Linked DNA regions of Drosophila melanogaster. The protein of the gene in region 4 interacts with the protein of the main gene of each other region in a pairwise test. Each region holds a gene or a part of one and is shown on either strand. Other genes may lie near its edges. The genes, in order: CG3625, CG16852, Nplp2 and CG5217.

Evidence for each region.
Region 1: the proteins of CG5217 (region 4) and CG3625 interact in a two-hybrid assay, tested with the Drosophila melanogaster proteins (one large-scale study listed by BioGRID).
Region 2: the proteins of CG5217 (region 4) and CG16852 interact in a two-hybrid assay, tested with the Drosophila melanogaster proteins (one large-scale study listed by BioGRID).
Region 3: the proteins of CG5217 (region 4) and Nplp2 interact in a two-hybrid assay, tested with the Drosophila melanogaster proteins (one large-scale study listed by BioGRID).

The regions. Positions count from the first base shown.
Region 1 is NT_033779.5:282,882-287,626, forward strand, and holds CG3625 (uncharacterized protein), read right to left. Parts: upstream 2,846-4,745; 5' UTR 2,753-2,845; coding exon 2,552-2,752; intron 2,088-2,551; coding exon 1,867-2,087; intron 1,375-1,866; exon of another isoform or gene 1,330-1,374; coding exon 1,005-1,329; 3' UTR 504-1,004; downstream 1-503. Other genes in the region: CG11601 (uncharacterized protein), read right to left, coding at 1-266; amnionless, read right to left, coding at 4,521-4,745.
Region 2 is NT_033779.5:13,539,171-13,542,156, reverse strand, and holds CG16852 (uncharacterized protein), read right to left. Parts: upstream 1,407-2,986; 5' UTR 1,358-1,406; coding exon 1,093-1,357; intron 1,032-1,092; coding exon 583-1,031; 3' UTR 511-582; downstream 1-510. Other genes in the region: CG9263 (uncharacterized protein), read left to right, coding at 166-482.
Region 3 is NT_037436.4:13,354,675-13,357,795, forward strand, and holds Nplp2 (Neuropeptide-like precursor 2), read left to right. Parts: upstream 1-1,701; 5' UTR 1,702-1,924; coding exon 1,925-1,969; intron 1,970-2,052; coding exon 2,053-2,178; intron 2,179-2,333; coding exon 2,334-2,423; coding exon of another isoform or gene 2,424-2,522; 3' UTR 2,523-2,549; downstream 2,550-3,121. Other genes in the region: CG17687 (uncharacterized protein), read left to right, coding at 1-175.
Region 4 is NT_033777.3:19,246,514-19,249,846, reverse strand, and holds CG5217 (uncharacterized protein), read left to right. Parts: upstream 1-1,710; 5' UTR 1,711-1,819; coding exon 1,820-2,057; intron 2,058-2,168; coding exon 2,169-2,578; 3' UTR 2,579-2,795; downstream 2,796-3,333.

The DNA.
Region 1 (4,745 bases), on a different chromosome or scaffold from region 4:
AAGAAGGTAAGGTACTTGAACTTGCCGCCCCACCGCGCCTTCAGTTCATCCTCGTCTAGCAAATCCGTGGGCCAATGCACCCGGAAGTAGTGAAAGTATATCCCATACGAAAACTGCGCTGCCGCCAGGAGATGGACCAGGAATCTCAGGTATTTGAAGGCACCGCTCGTATAGGCATCGTTGCAAGTGTTCAACTGGGCTTTAGTGGCCTCGACAGCTTCCTTGGCGGCGTTGAACTCGCGCACCTGCTTCTTGCTCTTGCCCATTTCCTCCAGAAAAGGTGCAAAGGGCACCGCACGCTGAGCAAAACAAAACAAATAAAGCTAGCCAACAGCTGATTAGGGCGCAACACACGTCGAGTTTCATTCCAGCAAGGAGGCGTTTTTAAGCTAGAACTAGCTTTTTAAAGCCAAATCGATATGATAGCGCCACTTGACGTTTCTCTGATCTTGAAAAGCAGTTTATTCCAAGCTTCCCACCTTAAAACAGTTTTCGCAGCTGATGAAGAGTTTAATCGCTTTATTATGGTACTAGAATTGAATAACAGTGGTATTCAAAGATGGCGTTGAATCAGTGTGCTTGATATGAGAAGTTTAATCGAGAAGGCATTTTTGTATTTTGGTTAGTCTAGTAAACTTATCGAAAGACGCGCGCGCTCAATGGAAACTACGGCTATAATTTCAGTTACAATGTATGCGTAATAAAAATATAATGAATATCATTAGCAAACGGGTTTCCATATTATGATTAAAGACTCCGAATTCAATATTACTGGAAAATATATTATCGAGTTGATGTTTCAAGTTTCGTTTATTATTTCTCACATATTTTGTACGCCTTCTTCAGTTAACTTTGCAGTACGATTTTACATACTTATGAAAAATTTCTTTGGCTGAGAAGATCGAACAATATGAGCAAAATGTATAATCGAGACCTGTCAATCACTATTTGTATTTTGTGGCTAATTAACGCAACTACATCGAACAGAAACGGGTCACAGCCTCCTAGTTGGATTTGCGCTTGGCCAACTTCACTTCCTTGGCCCAGACGGTATTGTTGAGGAACTCGCCCAGCAGGTAAAGTGACAGCGTGAATCCAACGACGGCCGCAAAAAACAGGATGCGTTGCGGAAGCTGGAGAACCTCGAGCACTGGATACACCCACACACCCGAGTAGTGCTTCACCACGTGAATCCAAACCAGGTAGGCGCCCATGAAAATGGCCAGTCCTGCGAGTCCTTGGCTTCGTTTTGGGTACGACCTGTACGAGATGAACAGCTCCAGGATGATGAAAACCACTATGTTGGTGTGCAGGACGTGGTTGAGCCAGCTGAAAGAGTCGAGCGAAGATATTATCAGAGTGTCATGAAAAAACAATGGGTGAAATCAAGACTTTTCAGACCACTTTTTTAATTTTATCCCTAAATATATTATGACGTACACATCTTTCAAGCTTTGTCGTAGCAAGCTATCTGAATAAATTAATTACTTTGAAAGTAAAACCAGAGCCCCAAAACGAGATTATAGGGTCTTAAGGTTTAGTGTCTAAGTAGCATTTTATGAAGATGGTTTATTACTGAAATGAAAGGAAAAACGTTGATCTAATTCCTTCAAATGTATGAGTACTTGTTAGGATATATATATAATTGAAAGATATAGTTCCAATTAAATCGAACTTAAAAAGCCTGGATATAAAGAAACACAATTAACACAATACCGTAAATAGGCATGTCAGTGGTATAGAAAATGGATATGGCTTGAATTAGACATGCTTAGAATGCTAATCTGGTCATGATTCAATTTGTTGAGCAGAATATGCCTTATGCCAGCCAGGCCACCTTGATATCACCAGCTTTCGAGGTCTTACCTGGGGAACACGGGGTCCAGAACCTTGGGGAAGACTAGCTCCCTGTCGATAGCGTACAGTGTCCAGAAGGTCACGCCCACATTGATAGCCACTGGAAAGGCCAATGTAGCCATCAGCCAGTCCTTGAACCTGCGAACCGCCGGAGGTTTCTTGGGTGTCAGCTCATTAGTGCCCACGAAATCGTTGACCAGCGATACAATATAGTACAGTGCCTGAATTATCTGTAAGTGCAAGAGCATTTGACGTGTGTGAGATAATGCGAAAGCGGCTAGATTTGAAGGGTTGCTTAAGTGAAGTGGAAGGAATTACAGTTAGCGAAAAAACGTTGCACAAGCATTTCCTGTACAATTTCAGCGACAATAGGAGGCGAGATGTGAGTTTGTTAGTAAAGCACTGAATTTGGAGGGATTCAATTAGTTGCTTTGCAGTGGAATGGTATATATATATATTTATTGTAAAAACTGCTTTAGCGAAAGTTCTCCATATAAGATCTTCAAAAAGCTCTAACTTTTATACACTGGAGACCTTGACAAATCCTCTTCATCACTCAAGAAAAGCCCATGATTCTAACTACTGTCCTATTCATTTTCTCTGTGTATCTTAATAGATGCGTGCGTACAAGTAACAATCGGAGTGAACTTTAAACCACGCTGCGTTCGTGATTCTAATGGGAGATGGATATTACCGCATCCAGGAACGTTAGGTATTTGAATTTGCCCCCCCAGGGATGATGGATCCTCATCTCTGGCTCGCTGGTGGGGAACTGCACGTAGTTGTAGTCGTAATAGATGCCGTAGCCAAATTGCACGACTGCCGTCAGGTGGAGCAGGGTCCTCAGAGCCCCGTAGACGCCCTGGTACACGGAGTTGCCTCGCACGGATGCCATTTTCCTGCTGCAGCTGCTCTGCTCTCGATTGATTTTTCACGGCACCAAAACACAAACAAACCGGTCTGGTCTGTCGCTCCGAAAGTACTACTGCTTGCGAGTCGGAACCACCCCAAAAAAAGGGGCGAGCGGTGGAACAGTGTGCCCGAGCCGAAGCAGGGCCGCAATACCAGGTGTTCGGATATACACATATATGTATGTACCCCCTTGTAGGGTTGTAAGCTACATCGAGATTTAATATGAGCTAAAGTTTTAACATTTTGATTGTGGGCTGAATACATCTGTGAAGATGTGGATTCATTTTAAATTGTGACTAGCTTTGTTGAATTTGTATGAATTTTTTGTTTTTAATTTATAAATTCGTGATGTAATTTTATGAAAATATTATTTTCTTCAAAACCATTCAGAAATTGATGTTGAAGTCAATTCTTTGACGATAATCATGAACGAAATCTAAAATATTCACTCTCGTCTACCGTATGAAGCCACATATCATTCAGGTTGTATCAAAATACATTGTTCTAGGCCAAAGGTATCTTTACTGACTACAAGCGATTAGATTTGAGTGTATGGGATCGAACTAGAACATCAGACCATTACAAATCAAAAACCAGTTATGCATCGCCTTCGTTTAACCGGTGTAGAGATTTTCGATATGAACGCATCGGCTTACCGCACAAATAAAAGTTAGGAACTTAAATTTTCCGCCGAAGGGCACCGTGTTGGGCATGTCGAGTGTGTGGAAGATGTACACGCCATAGTTGAACTGCAGCACGGCTGTAAAATGGAGGAGCAACTGCACCGCCTTGTTAAAACCCGGCGAAGTGGAACCTTTGCTAGTCGATTTTGACTTGGGCTTGGCCATGTTGAATCTCCTGGTGCCAGATATGTACTGATTGTGGAGTAGCCAGAGTCCAGTCACTAGCAGCAAGGAATATACGATTGCATACAGTAGTCACTCACTAAGCACACCTCCAAACAATCGTGAAACTCTTCAAAGTATTGCTACAACATGCTCGACTGTTCACTGTATGTATTTTCGCTTTCGCTTTGAAACTGATAAGGTGCGCTTATCACCCGCACTCTCAATCGCCGTAGTACAAAGTATTTCCACTTCAGAATGAATTGGCAGAAGCTAAAATGAAATCCGAAAGCGGTCGCTTAATCCGCATCGGTACGCCTCCGTCCCACGTCCCTAGATCCGTGCATATCTACGGATTCATATCCTATGGCAACTGGGGGAGGCACGTGCCTTCCCAAGCGTGTCTATGAATAGATACGGATACACATGAGCCACATTTATGAGCCGGGGGACAAAGGCTTCTGGAAATATCTTCGCAGCTAATGGCAACTATCGTTTCCCGGTCCCATCACCACCAATCCACCCCCTGTGAAGGTCAAGGAACAAGGCCATCGCGACAAAAGGCACCGCTAACTGAATTACCTGGTAAAATTATCAGGTGCTCTCTTGGTTCTTTGCCCTTTCGTTACACGCGATGCATCGATTGTGCGTTAGTAATTGATTCACTGAACAATAATATCCGAAAATATTCACGCAGATCCGCCTACAACTTGTAAATAGAGTTAATTACTGGACCATCTGCGCCCAGGAACATTTATAATGTAATCATAACAAATACTTTAATAAGCAGATCTATTAATATACATATATAGAACACACAATCTTAAAATTGTACATCAGATTATACGTGATGCTCCATTGGTGCTTTCGAATCAGGTTTCTATGTCTTATTTTTGAGAATCTTAATTAGATGGTCTCCTCGTCGGTGTCCGCCTCGCAGGTTTCCAAATTGATTTCCGTAAGCTCCTGTTCATCCACCACACTTCTGGCGTCCAGATCACCAGTCTCCATTTTGGGGACACTCAGGATTTCATCCTGCTCCTGCGACTCCTTGGCAGCCTCCTCCAAAGCTCCTCCCTGCTCAAACATCGGATTGTCAAAGGCTCGCTCCCTCACCTCGCCACTTTCCGG
Region 2 (2,986 bases), on a different chromosome or scaffold from region 4:
TAAACCAATCTATAAAAAAAAGATAGGAACTGTCTCTTGGAGTTGTCCTTGAAAACTCTGAAAAATAACACTACTGTCATAAATCCATAAACAGTTTCATTTTGGTGAAACCAGATGTCACCCGCATTTATTTAGTATAGTTACTATAACTGTATCAACCCGCAGAAAATTCGGAAGACGATGTTGAGATCTTCAGGAAGAAGGATAGCGATGTGCTCAAGGACATCCACTCGATCGGCGTGCAGACGGAACAGCCGCGCCGGCGCATTAGAGTTTGTCCTGTGGACTTTGCCCCGGCTTTGGCACCCTGCGAATCGACACGTCACACGATATTCATCGATGCCGTTTCCATGCAGATTCCAAATGCACTAGGTCGACCACCGCTGGCCGATCGTTTTTGCTATATGCTAACCGATTTCGCTTCGGCACTATATTGTAGTCTCGCCATCATGTGTTGTTGCACACCCAATATGTTGAGATAAATTAGAATGCGCAATGCTGGTTGGAACTCTGTTCTGCTAATTCTGTTTACTGCATTTTTACTCATACAATCACGTGCAAAACGAATCATTCTTATTACAATTATTTGGACGGCATGCCGACATTGGTCTGCAAGTTGCCATAAAAGTGGCTTAGTAAGAGGTAAAGGCACCACAGGCACAGGACAATGAAGAGTGCCACTGTTAAATTCTCGCCGATTATAGAGGCGAATGCGACAATCGTATCCGCCGTCTGCACAAGGACCTGCCACATCCTTTGGTGCAGTGGGGGTCTTTGCATAGCCGTGGCCGATGTCACCGACTCCACCTCGATGTGGATCGTGTGCTGCTGGATCTTGCTGGGCTTGTCCGTTTCGAGATCGATACCACCGCCGCGTACAGCCGCCAGCTTCGCCTCCAAATCCTTGCTATTCATATTACTCTCGTCCGCTGCTGTCCACGAAGTCTGACTACTCACCTCGCAGGTGGGCTTGATTGTGACATCCGATAGCCGCGAAAGACTCGATGATCTATGCTCCACGATTTGATCTTCTGTTAAGATATCAAAGGCTGTTAGCCCTTCAATAAGAACGGAATTATACATTTATCTTACCTTGCTTAATAGCTAACTCTTCGGATCGGAATCGCTTCATGCGGCTTGTTTGTCCATATTCACTCTTTGGGAGCTTGATGTATTCCTCAAACAAATTGCACTTGCTGATCTGCCTGTGGGTTAGTTGGTCCCTTGGAATCTGAACATCTTTGTGCTCAGCATTCCAGCCAATAGATGGCGCTCTGATGCTATCATCCACTCTTTTTTCTGCTTGTGCAGTTATAGAGATATCGTCTCCAGAAGTGTCACTTTTTGAACTAAGCATGTAGAGTTCTTCTAGTCGCTCCTTGCCTTTGTGATTCAATATGTTTTTCGTGTGAAAATCATGAGTGTGAGTTAAATTTATTTTCTACCATTTCTGTCATTTAAAATCAGTCTGGCTAAAAATTCGTAGCAAAGGGTTGCTTTATCATCTGCCTCAAACGACCATGGCAGACCGGCAATTGAGCCTCGTTGGCCAGTGGATAATTTTTGCGCTAAATTAAGCAATTTCCTTTCCTGTCTGGCCGGGCAAAACCAGAAGCTGCTGTCCATCGACACTTCAGGGTCGACTGTCGTCTATGGATTTTCCTGTCTAATATGACAATTATGACGGTCTACTGCACTAATGTTATTTTGCATAAGTGCATTTTAGGAACCAAAGCAAAATATAGGGTAGCTCCTTAACTGAGATTTCACTTGCCTGGTGAATTTACTTTCAAAAGACTTTCAAAAAAAGAACCGTCTAAATATGTAATTATTTTAATAATTATTGGAAGTTGCAAGGTCAAAAACATTTACCCCGAAATTTAAGATCAAACAACTACTTTAATATACCAACACAATAAATAAAATAAGATAAAAACTTTTGCTTCAGGCCACACATAAACTGCCATTTTATTATCTGATATATTTTTTTGTGCACATTCGCTTTAGATCAAAATTCATCCCCCAGATTTAAACCACAATTTCCGTTCAATGGCAAAAAGCTGTCTCCGTATATTTCATAATTTGTTCGAGGGAAACTTTTCGATGAAACTCTATTAAAGCAGAGGGGACATAATAAATTCATGGAATATCTCGACTTGTCCGGGTGCTACGTACATACATGTGGCATGTGGCAAGCAAGTACGCACATTTGCAGTGTGGAAATCAAAATCCAAGGGGCTTGGATGTGGAACTTTTCTCGTTGCTGTCCTATAGTAGAGTAAGTCCTTTGGTGTCCAGTGCGCACCTGCTACTCAGTGGTCGTGTTTTTTATTCGTTGGCTTGTTGAGGGAACAGAGGTGGAAGGAATGGTTCTTTTGGTCCGGCCATTGTTATCATTTAAAAGGCTTAAGTGCGCCGAAGATTTATATTTATATATATTTGAAAGAAGGGGAATGAAACGACAGCAGACGCTGCGACGAGAAAATAAGATAAACGTACACGTTATTGATTTTCCACTCGCATGTGCCGGCCAGTGTGTTTGCCTTTGGATGATGCTGTTGCCATGGACTGCATCTCCCTGCTTTGCCGCTGCTTCCGCTTTTCCCCCTTTGTGGCGCAGTTTTGTCGCCTGTCCAAAAAATTGAATTCAGGGCGCGGGAAGATGGGGGGCATGGTGTTTACGTGGGCTGTGTGGACTGTGGGTGCTACGGAGTGGGCTTAACTGGGCAGCCAACGCCTGCGCTTGATTCATCTGCCAGTTGATTGGTGTTTGTGCGAAAGTGTTGAAGCAGAACAACTGGGATTGAGTGGCCACCATCCTTTATCCGCCAGCTCGCAGCTCCCAATTCGCCCCTTCGGCGGCATGATGTTAAGCTTTATTTGTGTTGCCTACTTTGAGGCGGCACCGAGGGGCACGCAAATCGATCGTGCTGTCCGTCTCATATAATGGATTTAAACAAAGCCAATTTCGTGAATGCATTTCGTG
Region 3 (3,121 bases), on a different chromosome or scaffold from region 4:
GCAGATTAAGACCCATCGGCAGCTCATGGAGAATGTCCGCCGCAACTACGCCCATGTGCTGGAACTGCAGACGATTCTGGAGCTGCTCCGTCTGCGAACCTACCCCACGTTGGGTCCACCCCTGCCCCAATGTCATCCGCCAGTGCCGGAGCATATCCTCAGTTCGGTGCCCTAGGAGAACTTCAACCCGACCAACCAACAGACCAGACCGTGGGGCTAAGTTTTAGCCACTTGGCGAAATTGCAATTAAATATTTTCATTCCGCCAAATGAAAATTTATTAGTGGTTCTGGGTATCTGGTCTGGGTCTTCTGACTCGTGCTGCCACTTAATTGGGTTTGTTTGTGTCTGGGGAAAATTACGAAAACGAGGCATAAAGTCGTGCACTTTGAGCTCTGTTTGCTGTTTAGTTCGTTGCTCCCGAAACAAACTCTACTCTTGACTAACTACTTTTGGGGCTTAAGTTGGGGGAAACCCTTCAGCATCGCACTTCACATTTATTGTTTTAATGAATTGCCCTTGAAGACACGAGAGTTGATCCGAGAGATCAAACTGTTGCAATATAATACAAATAAAAAACCCCGATTGTCACTTTATATGGCTATCATATCGTGATTACGCTAAAAATACGGCAATACACGACTATTATTCTAATTATTATTACCTCTTTTAACCATTACGTAATCTTCGGATTTACTCCGAGCAGTAAGCCCTTATCTATTCAGCTTTCAAAACCAGAGAACTGTAATTTCTTTACTAAATATGCGAATTCATCATTTAAATTACTTTAACCCCTGGAGGTGAGCTACAGAATACACTATTTTTGTTAGTTCAGTTTTTTTACCGCAGCATCTATGTTGATAATAGTGTTTCGTTATTTCTATTCGCCTTTTAAGATGAGTTCACCATGCTAAATTTACGTTTTTGATATCCAAAGTCTACAAGAGTAGCTCTGTCTAAATATTCTGAAAGCGTTGTTTGGTTTGCCCAAGTCCAATCGCATTTGCATTTCTCCAACTTAGCTTCGCGTTGGAAATTTCCGGGTTGCTTCGTCAAATTTTCTAATACTCGGTATTATAAATATTTATTTTGCGCAATTACATAATTTCGAATGTAGGGCGCCTTATCAAAAGCATTTAAAAAAAACCTTATCACGTGCCACGTGCTTTGCATTGATAGCCGGTAAAATGGAAATTATAGTATAAAATAAAATTGACTATATACCTGTTACTCGTACAGAAAGTCGACTATAGCGTTATCTCTTCACTTTAACTATATATAAATATATATTTAACTAAAAAAAATGCTTACAGAAATATTAAAATATTTGGTCTTTAATGAAAAAAACAAATAAAAGTAGATAAACAATTCCGATTGCTGGATCGAAAGGCCTTCAGAACAGCTTAGCTATGCGAGCCATTGAAATGATAAGCACACATTGTAGGATATGTATATTCCAAATTTATACAGTGGTAATTCCATAATTATTTCTTGTTGAAATTCAAATTAAAAATATTCTTAAATTATATATTTAAATCTTTGTTACGGGCCAAGTGCTAGAATACTGGATTCGAGGATAGGGCAATACCATTAAGTCCTACAGAGATTAACTATTTGGCGGTTGCATAAAGCGGTTATCTTCTGTGACTAAACAAATGTAGACATTCTTGAGCCAAGCAAACGCTCAGCTGTTATGCGAAGCAATCTATTCCAGCATGCTACGGAAAAAAGTACGCTTATCACGGGTCAGCTCCGTAGCTCTAAACGCTCGGCCTTCCTAGTGCCGATAAGCCGGTCTCAAATTCGGCCGGCTGCGGCGCAAAACGAGGTGTCGTTATGAGTAGTTTGGCAGAGGTTCAATCAGTACTCAAGTCATCGTTCTCTAGTTCAGAGTTCCGCAGCAGTTACAAAAAACCAACACAAAAATGGCCAAGCTCGCAATTTGCATCCTCGTGTTCGCCCTGTTCGCCGTAAGTAAAATGCTCAAAGTCCTGGCACACAGATGCAGGACCTATTTTCAGAGATAAACTACAATGTGGCACTTTGATTTCAGTTGGCTCTGTCCGCCCGCGTCCCCCGTGAGGAATCCAATCCTGCCCAAGAATTTCTTACCAAGGCCCAGGGTGATTTCAACGAATTCATTGAAAAGTTGAAGGCGTTGGACGCGAAGAAGGTTGAGGTAATTATAAAGCAATCATATCAAAAATAAAGCGAGTTCTAAGTAATTAATAGTCATTTTTCGTGGAGACGCTTAAAACTCATTCTATCCACTACATACGTATTTTCCATAAAGTATTTACGAATTTCTAACTAACAACTTTTCTCTCTGTGTAGGGTCTCTTCAAGGATGGATTAAATACCGTGCAGGAGGGTCTGCAAAAACTTAACGAAACATTTCTTCAGGCACCAGCCGCATCCACCTAAGACGTTGTTGGATGGCCATATATCATTACATTGAAAACGACTCCAATAAATGTTTTAACTTTAACTTTAGTTGTTACATACATGAAAACTAAAAAATGAAATTAAAACGTTAATTGTTTTTAGCACAAAAACATATATTTGCCTATTACTTTAAAAAATTTTTCCATTCCACTTTCTAGAATAGCTATTTTATTACCTTAAAATTGGTAAAATTGAGATGTTTAGATTGAAAGATGATTTTTTTATTTATATTTCTTTTATTCTGAGAAAATATGCTTCCACGCATGAATTTGACTTGGTTAGGATAAAATTATTATAATTATGCCAATTTTTATTAGTACGGCCACCGAAAATGGTTAATTGCACTTCCTACAAGCTAAGTTATGGAACTTTTCTATACCGTTTTCACTGTGTTATTAAAGATTTTAGATGCTGAAGAGTGCTGATCTCGCTCTTCTTCGAAGAAAATTGCAGAAAATCAAAAATTATTGCCATGATTTGAGTTTCGTAAGAACAACTGGCTTTGAAACGGTAGCACGCGTGAAATATTTGTCAGCTATTTTGCACACCTGTTTGGCGCAGCCAACTCGGGGAATGGAGGACGAAATGTGAGGGCTTTCGAAACCATGAATAATGTATTGGCATTTGTACGGCATCGCATCTCGGGGAATCCCCTCCGATCGCCCAATCTAACTTCA
Region 4 (3,333 bases):
GGGCAGGGAAAGGGATTGTGTACTGCCAACAGCAGTTTGATTGTTATTGCCAATGAATGAATGCACTTGCTCCGAGGATTTGTCTGCCAGACGACCAACTTATGAGTTTCCATCTACAACTCCGGTCCAAGAGATGCGGCTCCTGCTCCAGCTTCGTTTGCCCCGAGGGTTGTGGCAACACATTTTGCGGTCTGCAGTTGCAGCTTCTGCTGTTTCTGCCGCTGCTGATGCCATTGTTCCCACTGCCCCACCGCAACACTGCACCACAGTTGGATCCCTGCGCCGCCACCAACTCCCATCCAGCGCGATGGTGTTGCTCCTGCGTAAGCCTGCAGGGGGTGTTTATGCTGTTTGTTGTTTGTTATTTGCCGTTTCGCAACTGTGTGTTGGCAATGAATTGGCTGCAAACAACATTTCCGTTTTGGCCATTATATGGCGCCCACTCTACAAATGGGCGAGCATAATAGCCGGAGGGGGAGGTGGTGCAGTTGGGGTTAGCTCCCCGTCGCCGCTGACATTTTCACACTTTTCAGCGGAGTGGGTGAGCAGCTGTTGGCGGCGGGCAAAAGGATTGCCTTGCATTATCCTTGTTCATTTCCCTTATACTTTTATTACTGATGATTTATTGATGTCCCTTTGTTGTTGGCGGCGTGGGGTTTTTTCATTAACTTTTTATCAAAGATCGGGGGTTGGACATAAATAAATGAAGGACACGAGCAATCACTTCAAGGGTTATGAAAACTGCCAAATTAAAGGGCAAACATATGAAGTATCTACTACCGTTAAACAAGATACATGTATAATGTTTTAAACGTTGTTTTCATTCACCATTCGTTGGTCTTCTTCTGATGCACGGTATTGCACTCTTATAGTAAGTAATTGATGAATTTTAATGGCTTTCAAATTGGTACGATAATGTATATCTGTTTTTCAGAATTTCAACACCTTCGCCAGACAATAGCATGCTGCAAGTGCCGCAGCAATTGTCCATTGTTTCGGGTATCCTGGCCAACCAACCGGCAATACATAACTACATAAATTAACGGACCTCGATTCCAGGACCAGGACCACGGAAAGGGATCGGGCCAGAGACGTAGGGATGGCGCAGTGTCGACAGCAGGAATCGCCACCAGCTCTTCAATTGATTTTGCGAAAGCACTTTGTTGGTGGGCCCCATCTCAGAAACGGAACACTGCAGCACTAACTGGACAGCGGACGGCGGACAACGGACGACGGACTTCGAAGTTCGAACATTTGAGACAATGGGGCAGCAGCAGCAGTAGCATAACAAGGGGTATTGTGTGCACGTATTGAATGAATTGCCTTTGGCTTTCATTTCAGCTCTTTTTTCTGGGGCTGCAGGCTTCAGTCCAGTTTGGCTTTGTCCTGGCCGGGAAACAGTTCGATTGCGGGAGAAAATGAAATCAAAGTCGTATCAATTTGAAACCTGTTTCGATGTCGTTGTTAACACATGTTAACCAAACGTAGCCAAATTGCCAAGGAAAATGCAAAAAAACGTGGCAGCAGAAATCGAAATTGATATTGTTTTTATCTACATGAGTTGTTAAAATTACAATATATATGTAAAGTACCAATCTCAAACTTATAAGGCTGTAAAATCCTTTTTAAACTCACTTAACTGAATTCTACTTTTCATAAAAGGTGACAAGAACTAGTTGACTCTGGATTTTCTGACACTTTGCATCTGGTGTTCAATTCAACAACACCAGTCACATTAATCTTATATTTCGTACAAAACCGAGCCATATTTTATTGTAAATAAAATTCGATAAAATTTCGGTGGACATATTGGACGAAGATGTCCAGTCTGCAAGATATTCCGCTTGCCGACCCCGAGGGCCTGTCTGTGGAAGGTCCCGAGGTGGCCCCCGCTCCAAAGTCCAATTCCTTGAAGCGCTTCTTTAAGATCAGCAAGAAGCCAATGATGCGCGACCAAGTGGAGGATGACGACGAGACATCCTCCCAGGACAACAAGGACCTGGGAAAGTCAAACACTATAAGTCGCTTCTTTACCCGGATGAAGGGAGCCAATAAGGGTAAGCTCTTTTGACTGGTATTAAATATGATTTGTTGAAAAAAAAATGATTGCCTAATGACTTACAATTAAAAGGAGCTCTTCTTGAATAATCATAAACCCCACTTGCCAGATGTTCAAGATCCTTCGAGCTCGGTGGTCGAACCCGTGGAGCAGGATAAGCCGTTGCCGAATGCAAAGCCCACGATTAAGACATCCATTTCATCCTACTGGAAGATACTGTTCAACCGGCAGAAGAGCCAGCGCCAAAACGCAGCTTTAGGGCAGACCAATGCCAATAAAGAGGATAACGAGTCTGAAGAAGTCCATGAACTGCAACCAGTAAGCCAAGATCCCGATACCGATCCTCAGCCGACAGTCAAGGATGAGCACGATGAAATGGAACGTGGCACAGATCCGGAGCCACCCAACCCGAAGCCCAACAAAAGTGTTGCCAGCAAGGCATCCGGTCAGGAGATTGTCAGTGCCTTAGAGGGCGGCCAGCTGTCTACCAATGATCACGAGAATGCGGCTTCCATTTAGCCGTCTTCAACTAACACTAATCAAACCCGATGTCTAGTATCTCTACCGATCTCGAGGCAAAGGTTTAGAAATCAGTTAGGGAGCTGATTCAACCTTACACAATATATACTCTTCAAACACATCCCTGCTAACTGACATACATACAAGAACAAACATTTTCGCTTTGATTCCACAAATGATAATTCCGAGCTCACGAAATAAACACATACAAGACCCCAGTATGTTGTCATGTCATCCTTTGTGGTAAATCCATCCGTTTTTGTTCGTCTAAGGGGTCACAGAGTTCAGTTAAATCGGTTGTTAAAACGTCTTCACTGGGGGGTTTTGATTACCTAAACGAGTTTCATGTTTTGCGTTGCAAACAGTGGGGTTAAAAGGTGCCGCATGAGCCAGACAAGCCCGAGAATTATTTGAGGTTTTCACTTTCGAGGGAAGCCCTAAAGATGAGCCACCCCCAAAAGTTGGCTAACTAAATCACGTAATGAGTATTTAATTGTTGGAAGGTGTGCTATTAAGGAATAAGGGTGCAGAAAGTTTTATTTTAAACTTTATTTCAGTATCAGTATACCAGTGCAAATTTCTTGGCTCAGTTCCAAAGAGGTAGATATAGATATATCTCAAGAATGAGTAGTTTTCTTATCTCGTGTCAGTACTTTGGAAAATCTGAAACACACCAGTTGCATATCAGGATAAACAGCTGGGCGATGTTTACCAACATTGAGCACAATCTGCGCAAACTCCGGACCCGACTGAAA